Stegostoma tigrinum: one gene and its partners. The protein of the gene in region 1 binds, or shares a complex with, the protein of each later gene. Links are inferred from orthologs where the notes say so. Each region holds a gene or a part of one and is shown in the gene's direction. Other genes may lie near its edges.

Region 1 (7,878 bases):
CATCAATTGCTGAAAATGCTCAAGGGACTGAGTAGGCAATTCTTATTTATATGATCATATTTATACAAGGCAGAGCATAGAACAACATCCAAAGGCAGTTCAAAAACCGAACAAAGGCAAAATATTATCATCCTTGGATAAGCATATGGATGATGATGATGGGACAGTGTAGGGGGAGGGGCTTAGATTAGTTCACAGGTCGACGCAACATCTATGTTCTCTGTTCTATTAAGTACAGTAACCAAAAGCTAGTGTGAAAACAGTCAGAATTTAAGATGGGCAGACAGCATAGTAATGGATGATTTGGGGAGGGAATTCCAGGACGTGTTGCACATTCAACTCAAAACACAGATAACACAGTGTGGAGCTGGAGGAAAACAGCATGCCAGGCAGCATCAGAGGAGCAGGCAAGTTGACGTTTTGGATCAGGACCCTTTTTCTATTATCCCTGACTCCAGCATCCGTAGTTCTTACTATCTCCAACTGAAAGCACAGCCAAGATACCTGAACAACCTAAACTAGTTGTTGAAACAAGGGAGACCCGGGAAAAAGAGAAGACACCACTTGGTATGCTAATTATTTCCAGTATTTTCTGTTTTCATATCTGAGAGAAATTGTGTTGTTAAAGGCCATGGGTCAGTTCTGATAGCCTTTCGCTTATGTAATTCAAAATCTCCAGACTCCTCAATTACAGAACCTCCTCGCAGCTACCCAGTCTTCTTCTTAGACAAACCCCTAGAATTAAGAATTAAACATAAATTCAAGAAAATTTTGGACTCAACAAGATCACCTCTCATTCTTCTTAACTATGGTGAGCACAGGTCCCATTCTACTCCATTTCTCCACATTTCATCCGAGGGTGCAATCGAGCAAACAGTTGTGCAGCCTTCTATAGCAAGGAATTCAAAATTCAATACATCTGTACATCAGAATTACAGTTTGAGATGATATATAGGATGCACTGTATGTGTTCAGTAACTGTAAATTTGGTCACTGCTGTAGTGCAAATATTATTTTTGGACTTATAAAAAACTCATTTGCAGGACATGTTGGATAAGCCAAGATTTATTACCAACTCCTAACTGCCCTCAAGAAAGTGGTAGTGAGTTGTCTTTGTGAAATACTTATTTGGAACACCCACTGTGTTGTTACAGGGTGAATTCCCAGATTTTAACCCTGTTACAGTGAAGAAACAACAATGTATTTTGAAGTCTGGATGATGTGTGGCATGGAGGGGATCTTGCAAATGATGGTGTTCCCGCATACCTGCTGCCACCGTCATTCTGGTTTGGAGATTTGAAGGTGTTATCCAAGGAGCCTTGGCAAGTTACTGCAGTGCATCTGGAAGATGGTACACACTGCTGCAGTTTCTCTGCAGTGGTGAATACAGAGTGAATGTAGAAGGTGTGAGAATTGACATGCCAATCAAAAAACTGCTTTGTCCTGAATGGTGTTAACCTTCCTGAGTGTTTTTCGGAGTTTCACCCATCCTACCAAGTGGACAGTATTTCATTACACGCCTGACTCAATAGCACTGTCGATAACACCTTCCATTATTCTGTTGATACAAAATAAACTGATGGATTGATAAATGGCCTGGTTGATTTGTCTTGCTTTTTGTGGACACGATATGGTTGTACAATTTTCCACATTGACATGTATTTGTCACTGTTCTAAATGTGCCGAACAAGCTTGCCTAATGACGTGGTTAGTTCTGGAGCTCATCTTCAGTACTTTTTGAGAATGTTAACACAGTCCACAGCCTTTCCAGAATCCAGCATCATCAGCTATTTCTTGATATCGTAAAGTCTATCAAATTGGTTGAAGACCAGCATCAGCAATGTTGGGGACATCAGGAGAAGGTAGAGGTGGATCTTCTGACTGAACAGGGTGCAAATGCTTCAGTCTTTTCATTTGTGCTGACGTGCTGGACTCCTCCATTATTAAAGATGAAGTCATTCAGAGCTTCTCCTTTTTTTGGTATTCATTGACGGGAAGAGGGCATTGCTGGCTAGGCCTGCATTTATTGCCCATCACTAATTGAGGTTGAGAGTCAACCACATTGCTGTAGAGCTGGAGTCACATGTAGGGAGCTTCCTTCCCTAAAGTACATTACTAAATCAAAAGGGTTTTCTCGATAATTCACAATGATTTCATGGTTATTACCGCGCTATTAATTCCAATTTTTTAAATTGAATTCAAATTCCACAATCTGCCACGGCAGGATTTGAACCTAGGTCCCCAGGATGTTAGCTGGGTCTCTGGATTAACAGTTCAGCAATAACACCATTAGGCCATTGTCTCACCTTATAGTGAGTTGTTTTGTTATTCATCATTGGATGTGGTCAGACTGCAAAGCTTAGATCAGATTTGTTCATTATGGGATAACTCACTGTTTGGCATGTAAATAATCCTGTGTTTACGTTACTGGGTGAGTGACAGAGAATGGTAACATGAGAGATGAGCGGATGGAACTAAAGAAGATGGTCAAAACCAACGCAATTGCCAGTTCAGTAGCAAGGCAGGCCAACATGCGATTTGGTGTCATAATGAAACCCAAGTCTTCATCCACTGTGACAAAGTGTGGAACTGGATGAACACACACGCCAAGCAGCATCTTAGGAGCACAAAAGCTGACGTTTCGGGCCTAGACCCTTCATCACACCCTCTTCTGACACTCTTTCTCTCTGATGAAAGGTCTAGGCTCAAAACGTCAGCTTTTGTGCTCCTGAGATGCTGCTTGGCCTGCTGTGTTCATCCAGCTTCACACCTTGTTATCTTGGATTCTCCAGCATCTGCAGTTCCCATTATCTCTTCATCCACTATACCTGGCTCACTCAGTATGGTAAGCTAACCACACATCACTGGAAGATTTGAATATTATCAATCTGATGTTTTAAACTACAAATACTTGGCAGATACTCCATGAAAATCCAACAAACACAAATGGCTGTGAATCTACACCAATTGTCAACATGGTTTAAATTACATAATTCTATTCACAGAGGAAAATGCTACACTCTCAAATTCTGCAAAGTTTTCTCAATGGCAACTCCAAGATGATTTATTCCTCACAGAATGCAGTACATAGAAGAACATGTGCACCTTGCTCGTTTTGTTTCCACATATAGAGACGTACAGCACAGAAACAGATCCTTCGCTCCAACCAGTCCAGGCGAACATAACCCCAAACTAAACAAGGCCCACCTGCCTGCTCCTGGCCCATATCCCTCCACACCTTTCCTACTCACGTACTTATCCAAATGTCTTTTAAATGTTGTGATTGTACCCACATCCGCCACTTCCTCAGGAGGTTCATTCCACACAGGAGCCACCCTTTGTCTAAAAACATCTACCTCATTTTTTTCAATCTCTCTCCTCTCAACTTAAAAATGTGCCCCCGGGCCAGGGTGAAGGCGCCGCCGCTTTTCATTCTCCATCGGGATGGCTCCCGCTGAGATCTCTCAACCGAACCTCCGCTTCCCCCAGTCCTCATTGGACCAATGCTTCAGACTAAAGCCCACCTCCTCCTTGAAAATGCCCATCCTAGGGGAAAAACAACTACCATTAACTCTATCTATACCTCTCATTACTTCAGTCAGATTGCCAGTCAACCTTCTACATTCCAGTGAAGGATGTCCCAGCCTATCCTGCCTTTCTTTACAACCCAACTTCCACACCCAGCAACACCTGGCAAATCTCTTCTGACCGTCTCCGCTTGATAATATCCTTCCTATAACTGGGCGACCAGAACTGGACACACTGCTCCAGAAGAGGCCTGACCAATGTCCTGTACAACCTCAACATGATTTCCCAACTCTTATACTCAAAGAAGCGAGCAATGACTTTTTCAGAAAACATAACCCTTTTAGGAAAAAGTCCCAATATCTTTTTTCTCTGGAACAAAACAACATGCAGGCCATTAGGTTCCTAACATCTTAACTCAGATTTTTACAAAAAGCAGAGTTCGCATGTTAAGATCTTAACCGGTTTCTGGTAAACAGTGTTATAAAGGTTACTTTAAATTTTCTTGGTTATTCTGGTCCATTAAGGAAGAATTCACTAAGATTTTTGTCTTCAACCCACATCAATGTTGCGCTTATTCATGCAGATGACGTACAGGGGAACACTGTGCCAACACACGCCAGAAGATACTGCAAGGGAAATATATTACCGAAGCGTCGACACAACAGTCATCAATAAATACCCACACTTTATTTAAAAAATATATAACACACACAAGTTGGGCTTGTTTTGAAAACTAGGGCCCGTTGGGTTGTCATCGTATGCAATCAAACCTGCTAGCGTGCTGAGTGACAGGGCCACCGACCAATCAGGGTGCAGGCGGTAGAGGAGGTGGGCATTAGTCTGAAGCATTGGTCCAATGAGGACTGGGGGAAGCGGAGGTTCGGGTGAGAGATCTCAGCGGGAGCCATCCCGATGGAGAATGAAAAGCGGTGGCGCCCTCACCCTGGCCCGGGACACTCACTCACCTCCTCGGCGTGCTTCCGCAGGGCTTTCTCCCGCTCATACTGGGTGATGAGCTGCTCGTTATCCTCCCGCAATAGCTCCAGCTCCACCTCGTGCTCCTGGTTCTCGGCGAACATCGCGTCCAGGTTCTCCAGCACACCGACCACCAGCGGCATCAGGTCCTTCACCACATCTTCGTCGTACTTGCGGATCATCCTCTCGAACTCCCGGTAAATACTAGCCGCCAGGCCTGACACCCGCTCCGACATAACATTAGTGTTGGAGTCATCCTGGTAAACCACCCCATCATCCATTTCCATTTTCTTTAAATTATCAATATGCTGGGGAAAACATATAGACAAATCAATGATTTACGCCGGAGGAAGTTAAGGGAATAACCACCTATATTTCTCTTCAGCTCCTGCTGCTTTCTTCTCTCCGCCGCTCAGCCGTCTCCCGCTCCCTCCCTGTTGACGACGCCGCTCGGCTCGAGGCCACTGGCTCCAACCCCGCCCCCTCAGCGCGCTGCCCAGCCCCCACTGTGCGCGTTCCCGTTCGAGGGGCGCGGTCCCGCCCCGTCCAGGCTGCGCGCCCCCGCACGCCGGGCCGCCCCGATCAGGCACGGAACGTCGCGAGCTTCCACAAGTCATGTGATCCCGTCACATGCTCTTGCCGGGCTATAGATAGTGGGAGCTGCGGATGCTGCTGGGTGAGCTCAGCAGGCGCAGCGGCATCAGGGGAGTAGGAAGGCTGATGTTTTGGGTCTAGACCCTGAGGCCCGAAATGTCAGCTTTCCTGCTCCTCTGACACTGCTTGGCCTGCTGTGTTCACCCAGCTCTACGCTTTGTTATCTCTGCTCTCGGGCGAAAACGGGTAACTCTGTCTTCCTCCATGCAGCACTTTGTCCCATTACAGGGATTTTGTGATGATAGTTGACATCTATGAATGGTTAGGTCTTTTATTTTTTTTAAATACTTTGGACGCAAGGTTTCAGGGTCACAGACAAGATATCTCCTTGAATAAAATTGTTACGAACGTCAGAATTGCTAGTGAAAAAACATGCTTTTGTCTAGTTTATCTTCTACCAATCATGTAATACAGTACAATGGAGCTATTAACAAGTCAAAAATGATGCTTTCATAAACATGAGCTCCTCCAAAATCACACAAAAACAAGAACTGCAGATACTTTAAATCAGGAACTCCATTTCCTGCCTACTAACCTCATCCCACCTCCTTGACCTGTCCGTGTTCCCTGGTCAGACCTATCCCCTCCCCACCTATACTCTCCTCTCCACCTATCTTCTTTTCTCTTCATCTTCGGTCCACCTCCCCCCTCTCCCTATTTATTCCAGTTCCCTCCCCCCATCCCCCTCTCTGATGAAGGGTCTAGGCCCGCAACGTCAGCTTTTGTGCTCCTTAGATGCTGCTTGGCCTGCTGTGTTTATTCAGTTTCACACTTTATTATCTTGGATTCTCCAGCATCTGCAGTTCCCATTATCTCTGATACAAAAACAGAAGTTGCTGGAAGCTCAGCAGGTCTGTCTTGTAGAAGTGTCACTGGAGTGAAACGTTAACTTTGATTTTTTTTTCTTTGCAGGAGCTGCTAGACCTGCTGAGCTTCCAGCAACTTCTGTTTTTGTTCCTCAAAAACTGCTGTCCATATTTCTTTTGCTTATAGCTTAGATGGCAGCGTTCTTTTCTCTGAATGACAGTTATGGCTTGAAAGCTTCTTCGAGGACTTGAATACAAAAGCCAAAACAGATATTCCAATTTTGCGCCATCGGAAATGCCATGCTTTGAAGGACATAAAAATGAGGCCTCTGGTTAACGGAAGAGATCCTATGGAACTATGTCAAGTAAAAGCGAGTGGTGTTTTAGCATAAAATACTGGAAGTGGTTATAATGAAAGTTCATCACCCATATGCTGGTAGGCTCACTGAGTATTTCAAGTATTTTCTGTTTTTTATTTCACATTTCCTGTGTGTACAGATATGTGGGTTGAACATATGTTTTAATGTTAAATCAATGTAAATTACATTACATAATTCTAAACACTGCAAATGGACATGGAAACTTGGAGATTCATATGTATATATCTTTGACTTGAAAGGACGTATTGAGAGAGTAGATTTTAAAACATCATGCCTTCAAAGATTGTGATATTGAGTTTAAAATCACTGATATTATGGTGAATATTTATTTTTGCCTGGTTAGGCAATAAGTTCTGGCCATCATGCTTCAGGAAGGACTTGACAATCCTTGAAAGGGCGCACAGGAGATTTACCAGAATGGTTCAGTCAGAGAGAGAGAGTTTAGCTGCAAAATGAGTTTGGAGAAACAGAACTTGTTCTCCTTGGAGCAAAGGAGAGATTTGACAGAGGTACCCATGGTACGTAAAGAAAAAGAAGTTCGGGATTATATCAAATTAAAAGGAGAAAAATGTATAACATGGCAAAGATTGGTGGTAATCTAGAGGATTGGGAATGTTTTAGAAAATCAACAAAAGTCAACCGAAGATAATAGAGAAAAAACATAAACTTGGAGGGTTAACTTGCAAGTAATATCAAAACTTCTTTAAGTAAATAAAAATAAAGAGAGAAGCAGAAGGGAACACAGGCCCATTAAAGACTAAAGCTGGTGAAATAACAACGGGGAACCGGGAAAAGACAAAGTTGAGAAGTACTTTGCATCAGCACTCACAATACAAGACAATAACAACATTACAAAAGTACAAAGTTATCAAATGGCTAAGGTAATTAATGGGGCTAAAGAATAATAAGTTCCTTGACACGATAGGATACGTTGTGGAAATTAAAGGATGCATGTATAGAGATAGTAGATGCACTTGTAACCATCTTCCAGGAATCCTTCGATTCTGGGCAAGTCCCAGAGAATTAGAAAACTTTTAATGTAGCACCTTTTATTAAAAATGGGAAGAAGACCAAAAAAAGCTGTCTGCCAGTTACCTTTATATCTGACCTTGAAAAAATGTTAGAATCTGTTGTAAAGGATGTAATAGCAAAGCATTTAGAAATATATAATAAGATCAAAGCAGGATCAGCATGGCCTCAAAAAGGGGAAATCATACCTGACAAATTTACTGGAATTTTTTGAGGGGGTAACAAGCAGGATAGATAAAGGGAAAGTAGTGGATGTGATAAATATTTTGATTTTCAGAATAGGTTTGGTAACATCACGCACATCTGAAAAGCTAAGATCCCATGTGTTGGAAGAAGCACATTATAGAAAGAGGATTAAACTAATAGAAGACAAAGAATTGGGATGAGGAGGCATTACCAAGATGGTACAAGTGTTACAAGTGAAGTGCCACAGGCATCAGTGCTAGAGCCACAGTTATTTACAATATATGTTAATGGTATGAGAAAAGTGAACGAACTATAGCCAA
Region 2 (8,102 bases), on another chromosome or scaffold:
TGGAGGCGGTAATACAGATTGCAAACACAAAACTTACAACAATTTTGGGAAACAGTTATGAATTAACCTGTTCAGAGGTGTTACTAAACACTCCAGGGAGCAGCTTGGTCTTGAGCCTGGGTCTCCTGGCCCTGTGAGACTGACACTACCACTGCTAACGCAAGGCTCCAAGGAAACCAATGAAGTGAAACTCGGAGTTTTTATGTTGCTATTCATGGTTCTTTATTCCATACGTCCGTCCAGGACAAGACTCACCCAAAGCTGCTTAATTCGAGAATGGCAGCCAGCACTGCAGACCATGTATGTGCACTGAGGGAGCGGGCACCGTCGGAGGGTCAGCGCCGAGGGAGCGGGCACCGTCGGAGGGTCAGCGCCGAGGGAGCGGGCACCGTCGGAGGGTCAGCGCCGAGGGAGCGGGCACCGGAGGGTCAGCGCCGAGGGAGCGGGCACCGGAGGGTCAGCGCCGAGGGAGCGGGCACCGGAGGGTCAGCGCCGAGGGAGCGGGCACCGTCGGAGGGTCAGCGCCGAGGGAGCGGGCACCGTCGGAGGGTCAGCGCCGAGGGAGCGGGCGCCGGAGGGTCAGTGCTGAGGGAGCGGGCGCTGTCCGGGGGTCAGTGCTGAGGGATCGGGCGCTGTCAGAGGGTCAGTGCTGAGGGAGCGGGCGCTGTCAGAGGGTCAGTGCTGAGGGAGCGGGCGCAGTCGGAGGGTCAGCGCCGAGGGAGCGGGCACCGTCGGAAGGTCAGCGCCGAGGGAGCGGGCACCGTCAGAGGGTCAGCGCCAAGGGAGCGGGCGCTGTCAGAGGGTCAGTGCTGAAGGAGCGGGCGCTGTCAGAGGGTCAGTGCCGAGGGAGTGGGCGCTGTCAGAGGGTCAGTGCCGAGGGATCGGGCGCTGTCAGAGGGTCAGTGCTGAGGGAGCGGGCGCTGTCAGAGGGTCAGTGCTGAGGGAGCGGGCGCTGTCAGAGGGTCAGTGCCGAGGGAGCGGGCGCTGTCAGAGGGTCAGCGCCGAGGGAGCGGGCGCTGTCAGAGGGTCAGTGCTGAGGGAGCGGGCGCAGTCGGAGGGTCAGCGCCGAGGGAGCGGGCACCGTCGGAAGGTCAGCGCCGAGGGAGCGGGCACCGTCAGAGGGTCAGCGCCAAGGGAGCGGGCGCTGTCAGAGGGTCAGTGCTGAAGGAGCGGGCGCTGTCAGAGGGTCAGTGCCGAGGGAGTGGGCGCTGTCAGAGGGTCAGTGCCGAGGGAGCGGGCGCTGTCGGAGGGTCAGTGCAGAGGGAGCGGGCACTGTTGGAGGGTCAGTGTTGAGGGAGCGGGCGCTGTCGGAGGGTCAGTGCTGAGGGAGCGGGCACTGTCGGAGGGTCAGTGCTGAGGGAGGGGGCGCTGTCGGAGGGTCAGTGCTGAGGGAGCGGGCGCTGTCGGAGGGTCAGTGCTGAGGGAGCGGGCGCTGTCGGAGGGTGAGTGTTGAAGGGGTTGGGTAGCGTTGTGCTTTCCCCTGGTTGTAAATGTGTGTGAGGGTCACCAATGGTGTTGTTGTTGCGGGGGGGGGGGTTGGGTGGTGAAGAAAATTTGTTCGCTCTCCCATCACGGGATGAGGGTGATGCTCGCACGGCAGCATTTATTGCCCCATCCCTAATTGCCCGGTGGCCTGGGGGGGGGGGGTGCAATTAACCATCAACCACATTGCTATGGGTCTGGAATCACACATTTGGGCCAGACCAGGTCAGGATGGTCGCTTCCTTCCCGAAAGGACATGAAGGAACCAGTTGGGTTTTTCCAACAAGGGATTCATCATTATAACACACAACAGCACAGGCCCTTCGGCCCACAAGGCTGTGCTGTATTTTTACCCTGTCCCAAAGGTGTATCTCACCTCCACCCCTACCTTGTGCTTTCGTCAGTTAGATTCTGAATTCCAAATATTTTATTGGATTCAAATTCCACCATCTGCCGTGGGCGGTCTTCGAATCCAGGTCCCCGGAACGTCTCCCGGATCCACAGTCCCGCGATAATCCCGCATGCACGCTTGGAGACTGGATTATTTCTCTGAACAATGTCGTGGGTATGGGGGAGGGCTCTGATCAATCGATAACTGGTTTATCGGAGATAACTGATCCTGACGACCGAGGTCAGAAGTCATCAATCCACCTGATCAGTGCAATCTGATGGTGAAACCCTGTAAAACCATAAAACAGTTTGCACAAAGGCAGGGCTCACCAACAACAGGTTTGCAAACCTCCTACCACTGTAGAAGGAGGACAGATGTTGAACTGACCTCTCCCTGTTGTTTTTGAAGTGTGCCATGAGTCCTGTGGCTCTCGGGTCAAAGACCGTTGATGTCTCTCACTGCCGCCCGACCTCCTGCGGTTCCCCAGCGTCTGCGTGTTGACTCGGAGCAGGCCATTTGGCCCCCTCGAGCCCCAGCGGTTTGAGGCGATCGTCACTGCGGCGAATTCCATGATCCCTCCGACTCCTGGCCTGAGAGGAAATCCCGTCCCCGTGAGGTCCAAAGCCTCCGACAGAAGCGGATGCCCTCGTCTCCGCCCCGTCATGTCGCCGTGGCCCCCTCGCTCAGGACCGACCCACAATCGGAAAAGTCCAGTCCACGTCCAGAGGGGGAGAGGTGGGATGCTGGTTGCAGAGTCGGTGCGGACTGGATGGGCCGAATAGCCTTCCGCGGTGATTGTCTGAGCAAACATTCTGCCTAATCACAATAGCCATATTTCACACGGCCTTTCGACTGAACAATAAATAGTTACACTGAGGTAAATTAGAAAGAACATAAGAATCTGAAAAAAATACCGTGCAACTTCACAGAGACACGGGGAGAATGTGCAAACTCCACACAGACAGTCGCCCAAGGGTGGGATCAAACCCAGGTCCTTGGCGCAGTGAGGCTGTTGCGCTAACCACTGAGCCACTCCAGCACAGGGTAATAAAAAGATAACTGTGCCATTAACTGCTACTTTGGCTCCTTCTTGCTTTCTGCGGCAGGGAATTCCACAGCCCCCTGCTCTCACGTATTCGCCTCAGGGAAAGATGCTGCAAATCAGAAGCAATCATGGAAATCACTGGCAAAAATCAGCTGGTCTGGCAGTATCTGTGGATGGGTTAATGTTTCGCGCCTCTTGGGAAATTCGAAAGACGGGCCACTGGACCCAAACATGCCAACTCTGCTTTCTCTCGTAGAAAGCATCTGGTCCAATGCATCACAGCTTCGGATAGTAACTGCTCTGCCCAAGGTCATAACAGACAGACATACACACAGACAGACACACAGAGGCAGACACACAGCAACAGACATACAGAGACACACACAGACATACACACAGCGACAGACATACAGAGACACACACACATACAGACACACAGAGACATACACACAACGACAGGCATACAAAGACACACACAGCGACAGGCATACAGAGACACACACAGACATACAGACAGCGACAGACATACAGAGACACACACAGACATACACACAGCGACAGACATACAGAGACACACACAGCGACAGACATACAGAGACACACAGAGACATACACACAGCGACAGGCATACAGAGACACACACAGACATACACACAGCGACAGACATACAGACACACAGAGACATACACACAACGACAGGCATACAAAGACACACACAGCGACAGGCATACAGAGACACACACAGACATACAGACAGCGACAGACATACAGAGACACACACAGACATACACACAGTGACAGGCATACAGAGACACACACAGACATACACACAGAGACAGACACACAGAAACAGACATACTGAGACACACACAGACATACACACAGTGACAGACATACAGAGACACACAGAGACATACACACAGAGACAGACACACAGAAACAGACATACTGAGACACACACAGGCATATACACAGAAACAGACATACTGAGACACCAAGACATACAGAGACACATACACAGATGTACAGAGGCACAGAAACAGATGGAGACAGATATAGACACCACACCGACATTTACACAGACTTACAGAATAATGGACACATACAGAGACACACAGAGACAGGCAGCGATGGACTATAGTATGTGAGAGGTTCATAAATCTGATATCAGCAGGGAAGAAGCAGCTCTTGAATCTGTTGGTATATCTTTTCAAACTTTTGTATCTTCTTTCGGCAGTAGAGGATGGGAGGGAATATAACTGGGTGGGAGGGGGTCTTTGATGATGTTAGGTGCTTTCCCAAGGGCAGTGGGAAGTGTAGACTGAGTCAACAGATGGGAGGCTGGTTTGTGTGATGGGCTGGGCCACTGTCTGTAATTTCTCGTGATCTTGGGAAGAGCAGTTTACAGACAGGATGCTTTCTATGGTGCATCTGTAAAAATTGGTGAGTGCCCTTGTGGATATGTTAGTCTGTCTTCATTTAACCCTTTCGGACAATGCGGCATTACTGGTATCTCTTTTGTCACTTACTACCCCTTGAGCTGGATGCCTGGCACACACAGTTTCAGGGGAGGTGACCCCACCGTTGCCAATGGGTCTGGAGTCACGTGTAAGACTTGGTCTGGTTTGGGAGGGGGACGGTGGAAGAATTAATTACCCATTTACGAACATGATTGCGCAGTATGTACGTGGGGATGAGTGCTGGGGGTGATGCCTCATCCAGTCGAATAGCCAACCGAGGGTTGTACAGGTTTGAGTGCGGACAACTGGATTCTTTCACAAAAAGCAACTCAGGACCTGAGGAAGGATTTTCTTAAATAAAATTAAAATCACCCCTCATTGATTCATCCCAAACCCCTCACTGAAATAAGTAGCCAATAGGGAAGTGGTGTTTCTCGATCGACGTTCTCCGGGATCGATCGTCACGTCCTGGAGGACCAGTGGGAGGAAGACGCGCAGGCGCGACCGAGCGCACTCCGAGCGGCTCGAACGGAGAAGCAGGAGACGGCGGCGCCATGAGCCTGGCGGAGAACCGGCCGTCGAGGAAAAATGCCGGTAACCGCATGTCGCGGCTGCTGGAGGCCGAGGAGGACGATGACTTCTACATGACGACCTACGGGGGTTTCCATGAGGTGAAGGAGAAAGAGGGACTTTAAAAGAAGAGGGAGAGCTCGCCCAAGGTGGCGGGAGGCCGCCGCCATCTTGGAAGGGACAAGCGGGCGCAACCGAGCTTGCTGTCTGGGGGGCGGGGCCACTTCGGGAAACGCCTCCCATCTCAGCCGCCATTGGGCTTAGTTCCTATCGGTTACTATGTCTTGTGTCATCATTGGCTGCCGCCGCTGTCAATCAGCGCTGTGCCACTTACCTGCACTGGGGAGATTTTTTCAGATGCTTCAAATAGACCTTTCGGCCCAACCAGTCCATGCTGACCCGCCTATCCTAAAGTAATCTAGTCCGAAATAGAGCCATACAGTCAGGAAACAGACCCTTTGGCATAACCAGCCCATGCTGATCCCCTATCGTGAATTAACCTAGTCCCATAAAGTGTCATACAGCGTGGAACTAGCCCCTTCAGCCCAACCAGTCCATGCTGACCTCCTATCCTAAATTAATCTCGTCACATGTGGGGTTTCAAAGCGTGGAAACAGACACTTCAGCCCATCTTGTCCGTACTGACCTGCTTTGCTAAATTAATCTAGTCCCGTTCTCTCAAAGTAAGCTTGCAGGTTGAGTCAGTAGTAAGCAAGGCTAATGCAATGTTGGCATTTATTTTCAGAGAACTTGAATTTAAAAGCAGGGATGTACTACTGAGGCTTTATAAGGCTGTGGTCAGGCTACATTTGGAGTATTGTGTGCAGTTTTGGGCCCAATATCTCGGGGAAGATGTACTGGCCCTGGAGTGGGTTGAGAGGAGGGTCAGAAGAATGGTCCCAGGAATGAAAAGCTTAACATATAAGGAACATTTGAGGACTCTGGGACAATACCCGTTGGAGTTTAGGAGGATGAGGGGGTTCTAATTGAACCTTATATAATAATGAATGGCCTGGACAGAGTGGATGTTGTGTAGATGTTTTCATTTGTAGGAGAGACTAGGACCTGAGGGCACAGCCTTAGAGTAAAGGGAAGACCTGTCAGAACGGAGATAAGAGAGAAGCTTCTTCAGCCAGAGAGTGGTGAATCTATGGAATTCACTGCCACAGAAGGCTGTGGAGGCCAAGCCATTGAGCACATTTAATACTGAGATAGATAGGTTCTTGATTATCAAGGGTTACGGGGAGAATGTTGTTGAAGAACTTATCAGCCACGATTGAATGGCGGAGTGGACTTGATGAGCCGAATGGCCCAATTTCTGCTCCTGTCTTATGGTCATATACGATCATACAGTCAGGAAACAGATCCTTCGGCCCAACCAGTCCATGCTGACCGGATATCCTAAATGAATCTAGTCCCATCTGCCAACATTTGGCCCGTATCCTCCTAAACCTTCCCAATTCATGTACCCCTCCAGATGCCAGGGAGTGTGTTAGAAGCAGCAATACGATGATCCAAACCCTAGAAAATTAAACGGTGTGATTGTAATCTAATCCCTAGTCTTGCACATTTTCCAAATCAATGCAGTTTTTGATCCTGGATGGATTTTAATGAAAGTTGACATTAATAACAGGGGGATTGAGTTTAAGAGTCGTGAGATCTTGTTGCAGCTCTATAAAACTTTGGTTGGACCGCACTTGGAGTGCTGCGTCCGGTTCTGGGCGCCCTATTGTAGGAGGGATGTGGATGCTTTGGGGAGGGTTCAGAGGAGGTTTACCAGGATGCTGCCTGGACTGGAGGGCTTATCTTATGAAGAGAGGTTGACTGAGCTCGGTCTCTTTTCATTGGAGAAAAGGAGGAGGAGAGGGAACCTAATTGAGGTATACAAGATAGTGAGAGGCATAGATAGAGTTGATAGCCAGAGACTATTTCCCAGGGCAGAAATGGCTAGCACGAGGGGTCATAGTTTTAGGCTGGTTGGTGGAAAGTATAGAGGGGATGTCAGAGGCAGGTTCTTTACGCAGAGAGTTGTGAGAGCATGGAATGCGTTGCCAGCAGCAGTTGTGGAAGCAAGGTCATTGGGGTCATTTAAGAGACTGCTGGACATGTATATGGTCACAGAAATTTGAGGGTGCATACATGAGGATCAATGGTCGGCACAACATTGTGGGCTGAAGGGCCTGTTCTGTGCTGTACTGTTCTATGTTCTATGTTCTAAGATACTGGAAACCCAAAACAAAAGCTGAAGTTTGCTGTAGAAACCCAGCAAGTCTGGTGGAAGGAGAGAGAACAGAGGTAACGTTTCGAGTTTTACTAGAGATTTGCCGGGATGTTGCTTGGAATGAAGGGTTTAAGTTATGGCGAGAGGCTGGGACCTTTTTTCCTCTGGAGTGTAGGAGGTTGTGGGCTGACCTTACAGAGGTTTATAAAATCATGAGAGGCACGGACAGGGTGAAAAGTTTTTCCCTAGACTGGGGGAATTTCAAAACCAGGCAGAATTTTTTAAGGTGAGAGGAGAAAGATTGAAAACAAGACATGAGGGGCAATTTTTTTTACACAGAGAGTGGTTTGTATGTAGAATGAACTTCCAGAGGATGCGGAGTGCAGCCACAGTTACAACGTTTAAAAGACATTTGGGTAAGTACAGGAATAGGAACGGTTTGGAGAGACATGAGCCAAACACAGGCACGTGAGACTAGTTTAGCTTGGGGGAAACCTGGTCAGTGTGGATTAGTTGGGCTGAAGAGTCTGCTTCTGTGTTGTTTGACTCTAATTATATCTAACTCCTTCTTGGAGACATTTAATGGTGAGGTGTCTTCTGGAGCACTGTGTCTAGTTCTGGTTGCCCTGCAAAACGAATGATATTAATTTGAGAGGGTTCAGAAAATATTTATGAGAACCTGGAGTGAACTGCCCGGGGAAATGGTTAATGCAGGTACCGTTAAGAATATTTAAAAGACATTTGGATAAGTACATGAATAAGAAGTGTTTGGAGGGATATGGGCCAGGAGCAGGCAGGTGGGACTAGTTTAGTTTGGGATTATAGTCGGCATGGACAGGTTGGACCGAAGGGTCTGTTTCAGTGTGGTATGACTCCAGTGACCCACTTTACCCTTCTCACCAGACTTTAACATTAAATTCATTAAATGTGTTT
Region 3 (8,147 bases), on another chromosome or scaffold:
CTGTCTGTGTGGAGTTTGCACATTCTCCCTGTGTCTGCGTGGGTTTCCTCCAGGTGCTCTGGTTTCCTCCCACAGTCCAAAGATTTGCAGGCTAGGTGGACTGGCCATGCTAAATTGCACGTAGTATTCAGGGGTGCATTATTGGGGAAACCAAGCGGAGGCTTGGGGACCGCTTTGCAGAACACCTCCGCTCAGTTCGCAACAAACAACTGCACCTCCCAGTCGCAAACCATTTCCACTCCCCCTCCCATTCTCTTGATGACATGTCCATCATGGGCCTCCTGCACTGCCACAATGATGCCACCCGAAGGTTGCAGGAACAGCAACTCATATTCCGCCTGGGAACCCTGCAGCCATATGGTATCAATGTGGACTTCACCAGTTTCAAAATCTCCCCTTCCCCCACTGCATCCCTCAACCAGCCCAGTTCATCCCCTCCCCCCACTGCACCACACAACCAGCCCAGCTCTTCCCCCCCACCCACTGCATCCCAAAACCAGTCCAACCTGTCTCTGCCTCCCTAACCGGTTCTTCCTCTCACCCATCCCTTCCTCCCACCCCAAGCCGCACCCCCAGCTACCTACTAACCTCATCCCACCTCCTTGACCTGTCCGTCTTCCCTGGACTGACCTATCCCCTCCCTACCTCCCCACCCACACCTTCTCCACCTATCTTCTTTACTCTCCATCTTCGGTCCGCCTCCCCCTCTCTCCCTATTTATTCCAGTTCCCTCCCCCCATCCCCCTCTCTGATGAAGGGTCTAGGCCCGAAACGTCAGCTTTTGTGCTCCTGAGATGCTGCTTGGCCTGCTGTGTTCATCCAGCCTCACATTTTGTTGTCTTGGAGTCTCCAGCATCTGCAGTTCCCATTATCTCTGATAGTATTCAGGGGTGTATGGGTTATAGGGGGATGGGTCTGGGTGGGATACATCAAGGGGTGGTGTGGATTTGTTGGGCTGAAGGGCCTGTTTCCACACTGTAGGGAATCTAATCTAATCTTAAAAAAAACCTCAGGAGAGATTAAATCCCACATTATAAAGACAAAATGAAGTATGTTAAAAAAAAATGCACATCGAAATGGCTAAACGATATAAAAGCAAAATACTGAACTTGCTGGAAATCTGAAATTAAAGCAGAAAGTGCTGAAAACATGTTAGTATCATCTGTGCAGAGCAAAAACAAGTTGTTCTGAGTTGATTATGACCCATTTTCAGTCAATGAAAAGTCATATTCCAGTTGGAATGTTTACTATCTTCATAAGAAATACGAAATATTGAAATATATCACATTAACAGATGTGCAGGTGAACATCTGTTTGACGTGGAAAGGGGCAGGTGTAGCACGTGCTTCGCTTGCAGGGAAACGTGCCGTGGATGTTGGAGCTGGAGGCGAGTGTGGAGCGGACAAAGGAGTCATGGAGACAGTGATCCCTCCACAAAGCACGTAAGGGTGGGGAGGGAAAAGTGTCTTTGGTAGTGGGGTCAGATTGCAGATGGTGGAAATGTCGGAGGCTGATGCGTTGGATTTGGAGCTTGGGCCCATGAGGGTACCCATGGCCTTTGTCTGTACACCGCAGTTCATCCCTCTCCCGCTGCAACCCTCTTATACTTTCTTCGGCCCTGAAACTGCTCGACCCTATCCTAAAGCAAACTAATAATTATATCTCCCACTTCCTACAGACAGAGGGTGGCCATGGGTACAGGCATGGGCCCAAGCTATGCCTGCCTCTTTGTAGGGTACATGGAATAATCCCTCTTCCAAAGCTACTATCCCCCATCTCTTCCTCCGTTACATTGATGACAGTTTCAGCACCGCCTCATGTTCCCACGAGGAGCTTGAGCAGTTCATTCACTTCGCTAACACCTTCCACCCCAACCATAAATTTACCTGGACAATCTCTGACACCTCTCTCTCCTTCCTGGACCTCTCTGTCTCCATCTCTGGCATCCAGCTGGAAAGCGATATCCATTTTAAGCCTACCAAATCCCACAACTACCTAGAACATTCCTCCTCTCACCCACCTTCCTGTAAAAAGGCCATCCACTATTCCCAATTCCTTCGCCTCCGCTGCATCTGCTCCTGAGACATTCCACTCCGAAACATCCCAGATGTCCTTTTGTTTTCAAGAACTGCAATTTCCCCTCCACAGTCATTGAAAATGCCCTCGACCATGTCTCCCGCATTTCCCGCAGCTCATCCCTCACACCCCCTATTCGCAATAATAACCAAAACAGAATCGCCCTCGTCCTCACGTACCACCCCACCAACCTCCAAATCCAAAGCATCGTCCTCCGACATTTCCGCATCTGCAATCTGACCCCACTACCAAAGACATTTTTCCCTCCCCACCCTTATCTGCTTTCCAGAGGGATCACTCTCTCCGTGACTCCCTTGTCCACTCCACACTCCCCTCCTACTCCACCAACCCCTGCACTTTTCCCTGCAAGCGAAGCAAGTGCTACACCTGCCCCTATACCGCCCCGCCACCCCCATCCCCAAGGAAGACTTTCCATATCAAGTAGATGGTCACCTGCACATCTGCTGAGGTGGTATACCGCATCCGTTGTTCCCGTTGTGGCCTCCTCTACATCAGGGAAACCAAGCTGAGGCATGGGGACCGTTTTGCGGGACACCTATGCTCAGTTCGCAACAAACAACTGCACCTCCCAGTCACGAACCATTTCAACTGCACCCCCACCACCCCCCCCAACTCCTCGGATGACATGTCCATCCTGGGCCTCCTGCATTTCCACGATGACGCCACCCAAAAGATGCAGGAACAGCATCTCATATTTCACATGGGAACCCTGCAGCCCAATGGTATCAACGTGGACTTCACAAGCTTCAAAATCTCCCCTTCCCCCACTGCATCCCAAAACCAGCCCAGTTCACCCACCTCCTTAACCTGTCCTTCCTCCCACCTCAAGCTCCACCCCCATCTCCTACCCACTAACCTCATCCCGTGTCCTTGACCTGTCCGTCCTCCCTGGACCAACCTATCCCTTCCCAAACTCCCCACCTACACTCACCTTTACTGGCTCTAACCCTGCCTCTCGACCTGTCTGTCTCCTCTCCACCTATCTTCTCCTTTATCCATCTTCTATCCGCCTCCTCCTCTCTCCCTATTTATTTCAGAATCCCCTTCCCCTCTCCCATTTCTGAAGAAGGGTCTCGACAGGAAACGTCAAACTTTCCTGCTCCTCTGATGTTGCTTGGCCTGCTGTGTTCATCCAGCTTCACACGGTGTTACATCAGATTCCCCAGCATTGGCAATTCCTACTATCTCTGAAATATTGAAACATGCTTTTCCCTTAAGTAGTAGGTTTTTGCACCAAGGTCACATTTCACAAATTTTCTAAGTAACTGGTTCAAAATAAGTCATTTATTGAGTAGGAAATGTGAGGTTCGATGACCGTGTCTTTAACCTCCGGTAAATTGAACGGGTTATATGATCTGTTCTGAAATCTGCCAGATGACAAGACAAGGTGACGCGGCTGTTAGAGATTAAATGTAATGAAAGTGGAGATAATTGCACGAATATATTTACAGTGACCGGTAGTTTCCCAAGTCCCTAAAAGATGTAAAGCAAGTCTGGCAGCATCCGTGGAGGGAAAAACGTTCGAGTTCAATATGACACTTCAGAACTCAACTATTGCATCTTGTAGTTCTTAAGACATATACTGGGCTCAAATATTAACTATTTGTGTTTCCAGAGATGCTGCCAGATTTGTTGAGTTTCTCCTGCATTCTCTATTTATTTTAAATTTCCAGCATCCGCAGTATTTTCGCTTTTACAAGATTACGAAAGGACTACTTAAAGAAGCTGTGTAAAGAATTTTTTTTAAAAAAAGTAGTTTCTAGGTCCTATAAAAAGTAAAACGGCATGTTTTACTGGCTACAAAAAAAGTGTTCACTCAATACTGTAGCGTATTTCTTCTGTTTGCCACAGTTAAAAAAATAAAAATGTGAAATCTCGAGTCAACCTTTCAGATATCAATCTGGTACTTCGAATTACTTTTTAGAAGTTGAGTCTTTACGGAGATCGTACCCAAAAAAAACTCTTAAAACACTACATTCATTTCAAGTTCAGCTGAAGAATGATGTGTTATGATCAAGATCAGCAAGGCTAGCAGTTGTAGGTACCCGATTGACTTTTTAAAAGGAGTTGAGCAGGGGACTGAACAAATTAGACATCCCTCTGATCAGAAGCTGCACCAACAGGATGGGGGTCTCTGTTATCTGATGCATCTTCTTGCTTCCGTGCAATGAATCAGTGAATGGAGAGATATTGCTGAGTTGCGTGGAAGTTGAGTACGGGATACATACAAATCAAAGAGAGCATCTTCCAGCCCCGCTCGCTCATGCCGCCGTGTAATCGGAAACGGGTCTTAAATTGTTTAAACCAAACGATCGAAACAATAATCAGAAAATAATAAGTGCACGTCGGAGCCGGCACAACTTGAACAACGAACCCCGCCTCACCCCAAATCATTCGTAGCCTCAATAATCGATCAGGGAGCTCAGGCTTAACTCGACTCAAGAAACACAGAGGCCGACGGCTGCCCGCCTCGAACAGAAAGACCTGGACTACATCTCCCAACATTACCTTGTTGTTGTGGGCGTGCCGAACCAGGAAAAACCGCGCCAACGAAACAGAAGGGCCGCCGGCCCACCAATCGGAGTGCGGAATTTGAGTGCGCGGGGCGGGGAGGGGCGGAGCCGAGGCGCCGGTGTTTTTATCTGCCATTCCCCATTTTTTTTAAACGAACGAGCGGCGCTGGTTTGAGACGCCATATTGGAACCATTTTAGGGGGGAAGGAAAAAAAACAACCATCCCTTTTTTAAAAAAAATCGTCCGGTTTTTTTTACAAAAACCATCCATACTCGAAATGTTGTACTTGGAGGATTACTTGGAAAGTGAGTATTGAGTGTAAGGCAGCGTGTACAGCTGGGATTGTTTCCCCCCCCCCCACCCCGGCAGGGCCGGGCGGAGCGAAGCGAAAAGGCACCATTAATGCTGTTGTTTTCCTCTCTCGACAGTGATCGAACAACTTCCCATGGATCTGCGCGACAGGTTTACGGAAATGAGGGAGATGGACCTACAAGTACAGAGTATGCAGAGCCACGTTAGTCATGTCAGAGGCACACAACTCACCCGTGTTTTTTTTTAAATGCCGGGACACTGCACTGAACATTCTTACAGCCACATTACGATACCCGCGACTTCTCTCCTTCCACCTTACCTCTTTCAGTTTCTTTTCAAAACAAATGCCTCTTGACCCAAAACCTAAATATTCCGCCTTTGCAACATTTGAAAAGATCCAGGAAATAAAAGTTTCAGCCAAAATAAAACCACCTTTAGTTTCAGTTACCGAGTCATTTTTGATAATATTCCGATAATTTGTTATAGTTACTTTTACTTTTTCAGCTCCTTTCCCTCCCTTTTCTGAGATCACTTATCTATTGCCACTCAATTGCAGAGTCATAGCAACGTACACCATAGCAACAGCGTCCATCACTTGGTCCAGCGCTAGGTGGCAACTTCTCTTCCCTTTTTAGCTGCACTTGGATTTCTTTTCCATAAACAATTAATTGTATAGACTTTGCGAATGTTTTCTTAAATTCCTTTAGTGAGACCATTATTGCACTCTGTGGCTCGGTCTGAAAATGTGTTTAAAAAAAACTGATCTCCCCATGCGACATCAGTCTTTGATGTCATTGTAACTGCTGATATCGTAGCAATTTCTCCGTGATAACCTTTAAAATGTTGAATTTCATTAACGTATTTTAAAACTATCTTTACTGTACATTTTCCACTTGTGCACACATATATTGAATAATGAAATACTTTAAAGTGGGGTACGAGAATGGTTTTCTAAGTTTTCAGTTTTTAATATTTGCATTCTTGTGTTATTCTGAATTGAAGTACAGAAATATATTAAAATAATTCATCTCTAGTTTTCTGTAAACATTAATCAATTAAAGTAAATCAAATAGAAATAATGCATTTTAAAATTTATCAGGGCAACCTAACAACTAAAATTAAGTAAAGTTGTTTTTAAAGGAGACTTGGCTTTCAATTATCTTTTATTGCTACAACAGGTACCAACCATAATTTCTCTGCTTCAAAACTTTGATCACCACTGCTTGGATTGGACCATTTTAATTTGATTTTATTTAGCACGTAAATTAGAAGTCTCATTTGAACATTTACACATGTATTAAATAAAAGTTTGTCCCTAGCTATGTTAGAAACTAGATATTCAGATTTATTTGGCAAAAAATATCACAGTAAACTCCTTAAAATGCAGTTATACAGCAAAATGAATTATGGCATTACATTTCAAAAGTAGAGAGTTATTTTGAAGATTTTTCTTTTTGACCAGCTTAATAAATTATATTTATAGCAATCTGCGGTATGTCACTGTGAACGTTTTTCAAATATCTCCATTATTAGTTAATTTCACCCCATTCCACCCGTAATGGAGAGTTTCTGGTGAGACAAAATTGAAATTGATGGCATTTTGTTATTAAAACACATCTACAAACAGTTATTAAGATTCTGACCAAATAAACCTTGTAGACTGCATGCAGTTACAAGCACTCAGCATTTTCAGTAATTTGCTGAGCATTGATATACATGGTTTACTAGGTAAGCATTAGTGAAAGTATCAGCCAAAACTAGGCTAAGAAAATCCATTAAAGTTAGTTGTGGAATTGCCCTTGCAGAGTAAATGCAATTTAAAATTTATCAGGACATTCTAGTAACTAAAAAGAAGTAAAATTGTTTTAGAGGAGACTTGGCTTCAGTTACCTTTATTGCTAGAACAGGTACCAACCATAATTTCTCTGCTTCATAACTTTGATCACCACTGCTTGAATTGAAGCATTTGAATTTGATTTATTTAGCACATTAATTCAAAGTCTCACTTGAACATTTTTATGTGTATTAAATAAAAGTTCATTCCTGGCTATGTTAGAAACTATACAATCAGAAAAAAAATCACAGTCAACTCCTTAAAATGCAGTTATATAGCAAAATGCAACTGATCTGTGTAAAGCTCATTTATCAGGAGCTTATGGAAGTGAAAAAGAAGCTTAAGGCAACAAGAAGACTTAACACTTAAAAATTTGAAATTGATTGTAACAATTTGAGCTACACAGATTTACTGTATATAAGGGCCATGCATTTTTTTATTGTGATCTGTTACAAATTTTAAAAACCAACTAATAGGCTTTTTGGACTATAATTTTTTCAGAATACCGACCTCTTTTTGAAGTTATTTCATTTATTAAGTTATTACGGTGCTATGTTTTCAGTCATTGTTGCTAACAATCCATTCAGTTGTTGATAAAACTTGCTAAGAACTCCGGTTGGTACGTATTCTAAATGTTGCCTTCCTGACAACAAATCTTTGCTACCTCCTGGTGTTTCTGAATTCTTTAAAGATTTACTTCATTTATCATTTAACACAGAATTGAATGCTGCAAATGGAGGATTTTAGTATCTGCAGGAGGACTGAATTGCCTTACTCGTCTATAATTTTCTTTTGATCCTGTTAAGTATCTTTTATACTTATTAAGTTTCTTTTCGGAAGCTCTCAAAACGTAAAGTGCAGGCAAGACAAAAGTGTGAGGAAAGAAATAAACGGTAATTCATATATGTGAAGGAAAACATTAAGAGGGAATATTAATAAAAATTGCACTGCTTTTGAATACAAATCACTATTGATCACAATTCCTAGGAGCCTTTCTATACATTGAAGAAGAAAATGCTTAGTGGCAGTAGGAACACTAAATGAATGCCGCATTACCTACTTGTCTCACATACACTCTATCTTATTTATTTCTAACTGAATCCCAATTGTGTTGACTAACCCTTGGTTGAAGTATTTTTGTGAATATAGTTGATGGATGCAGGGCAACCTGCAAAAAAGAAAGTATCATGCCATTGACTTGAAATACTGTATAAATTCTTGCACAGCGTAATAAAAAATTTGGATTGGTGGGGTGAAACACGGCATGATCAAAGTGTTTCATTGCCACTAGGTGGTAAAATTCTTATGTGGTCTCTTAATTAACATTGACTGTATATTTACACTGGCCCGTTTTAAAAATTTTTAGTCAAGTTATCATTTAATCAAAGTA

The links.
Region 2: mbtd1 (region 1) and vps72b share a complex: the UniProt entries of both Homo sapiens proteins name them as parts of the nuA4 histone acetyltransferase complex. The link is inferred for Stegostoma tigrinum from reciprocal best matches to the Homo sapiens genes MBTD1 and VPS72.
Region 3: mbtd1 (region 1) and ing3 share a complex: the UniProt entries of both Homo sapiens proteins name them as parts of the nuA4 histone acetyltransferase complex. The link is inferred for Stegostoma tigrinum from reciprocal best matches to the Homo sapiens genes MBTD1 and ING3.

Annotation. Positions count from the first base shown.
Region 1 is NC_081375.1:6,125,626-6,133,503, reverse strand, and holds the start of mbtd1 (MBT domain-containing protein 1), read left to right. Parts: upstream 1-4,407; 5' UTR 4,408-4,493; coding exon of another isoform or gene 4,494-4,790; exon of another isoform or gene 4,791-4,976; intron 4,977-6,069; 5' UTR 6,070-6,374; coding exon 6,375-6,399; intron 6,400-7,878. Other genes in the region: C-Jun-amino-terminal kinase-interacting protein 4, read right to left, coding at 4,494-4,790. UniProt on the Homo sapiens protein: Chromatin reader component of the NuA4 histone acetyltransferase complex, a multiprotein complex involved in transcriptional activation of select genes principally by acetylation of nucleosomal histones H4 and H2A.
Region 2 is NC_081400.1:5,038,609-5,046,710, reverse strand, and holds the start of vps72b (vacuolar protein sorting-associated protein 72 homolog), read left to right. Parts: upstream 1-4,877; 5' UTR 4,878-4,932; coding exon 4,933-5,049; intron 5,050-8,102. UniProt on the Homo sapiens protein: Deposition-and-exchange histone chaperone specific for H2AZ1, specifically chaperones H2AZ1 and deposits it into nucleosomes.
Region 3 is NC_081371.1:36,896,521-36,904,667, forward strand, and holds the start of ing3 (inhibitor of growth protein 3), read left to right. Parts: upstream 1-4,648; 5' UTR 4,649-4,888; coding exon 4,889-4,916; intron 4,917-5,039; coding exon 5,040-5,111; intron 5,112-5,999; exon of another isoform or gene 6,000-7,557; intron 7,558-8,147. UniProt on the Homo sapiens protein: Component of the NuA4 histone acetyltransferase (HAT) complex which is involved in transcriptional activation of select genes principally by acetylation of nucleosomal histones H4 and H2A.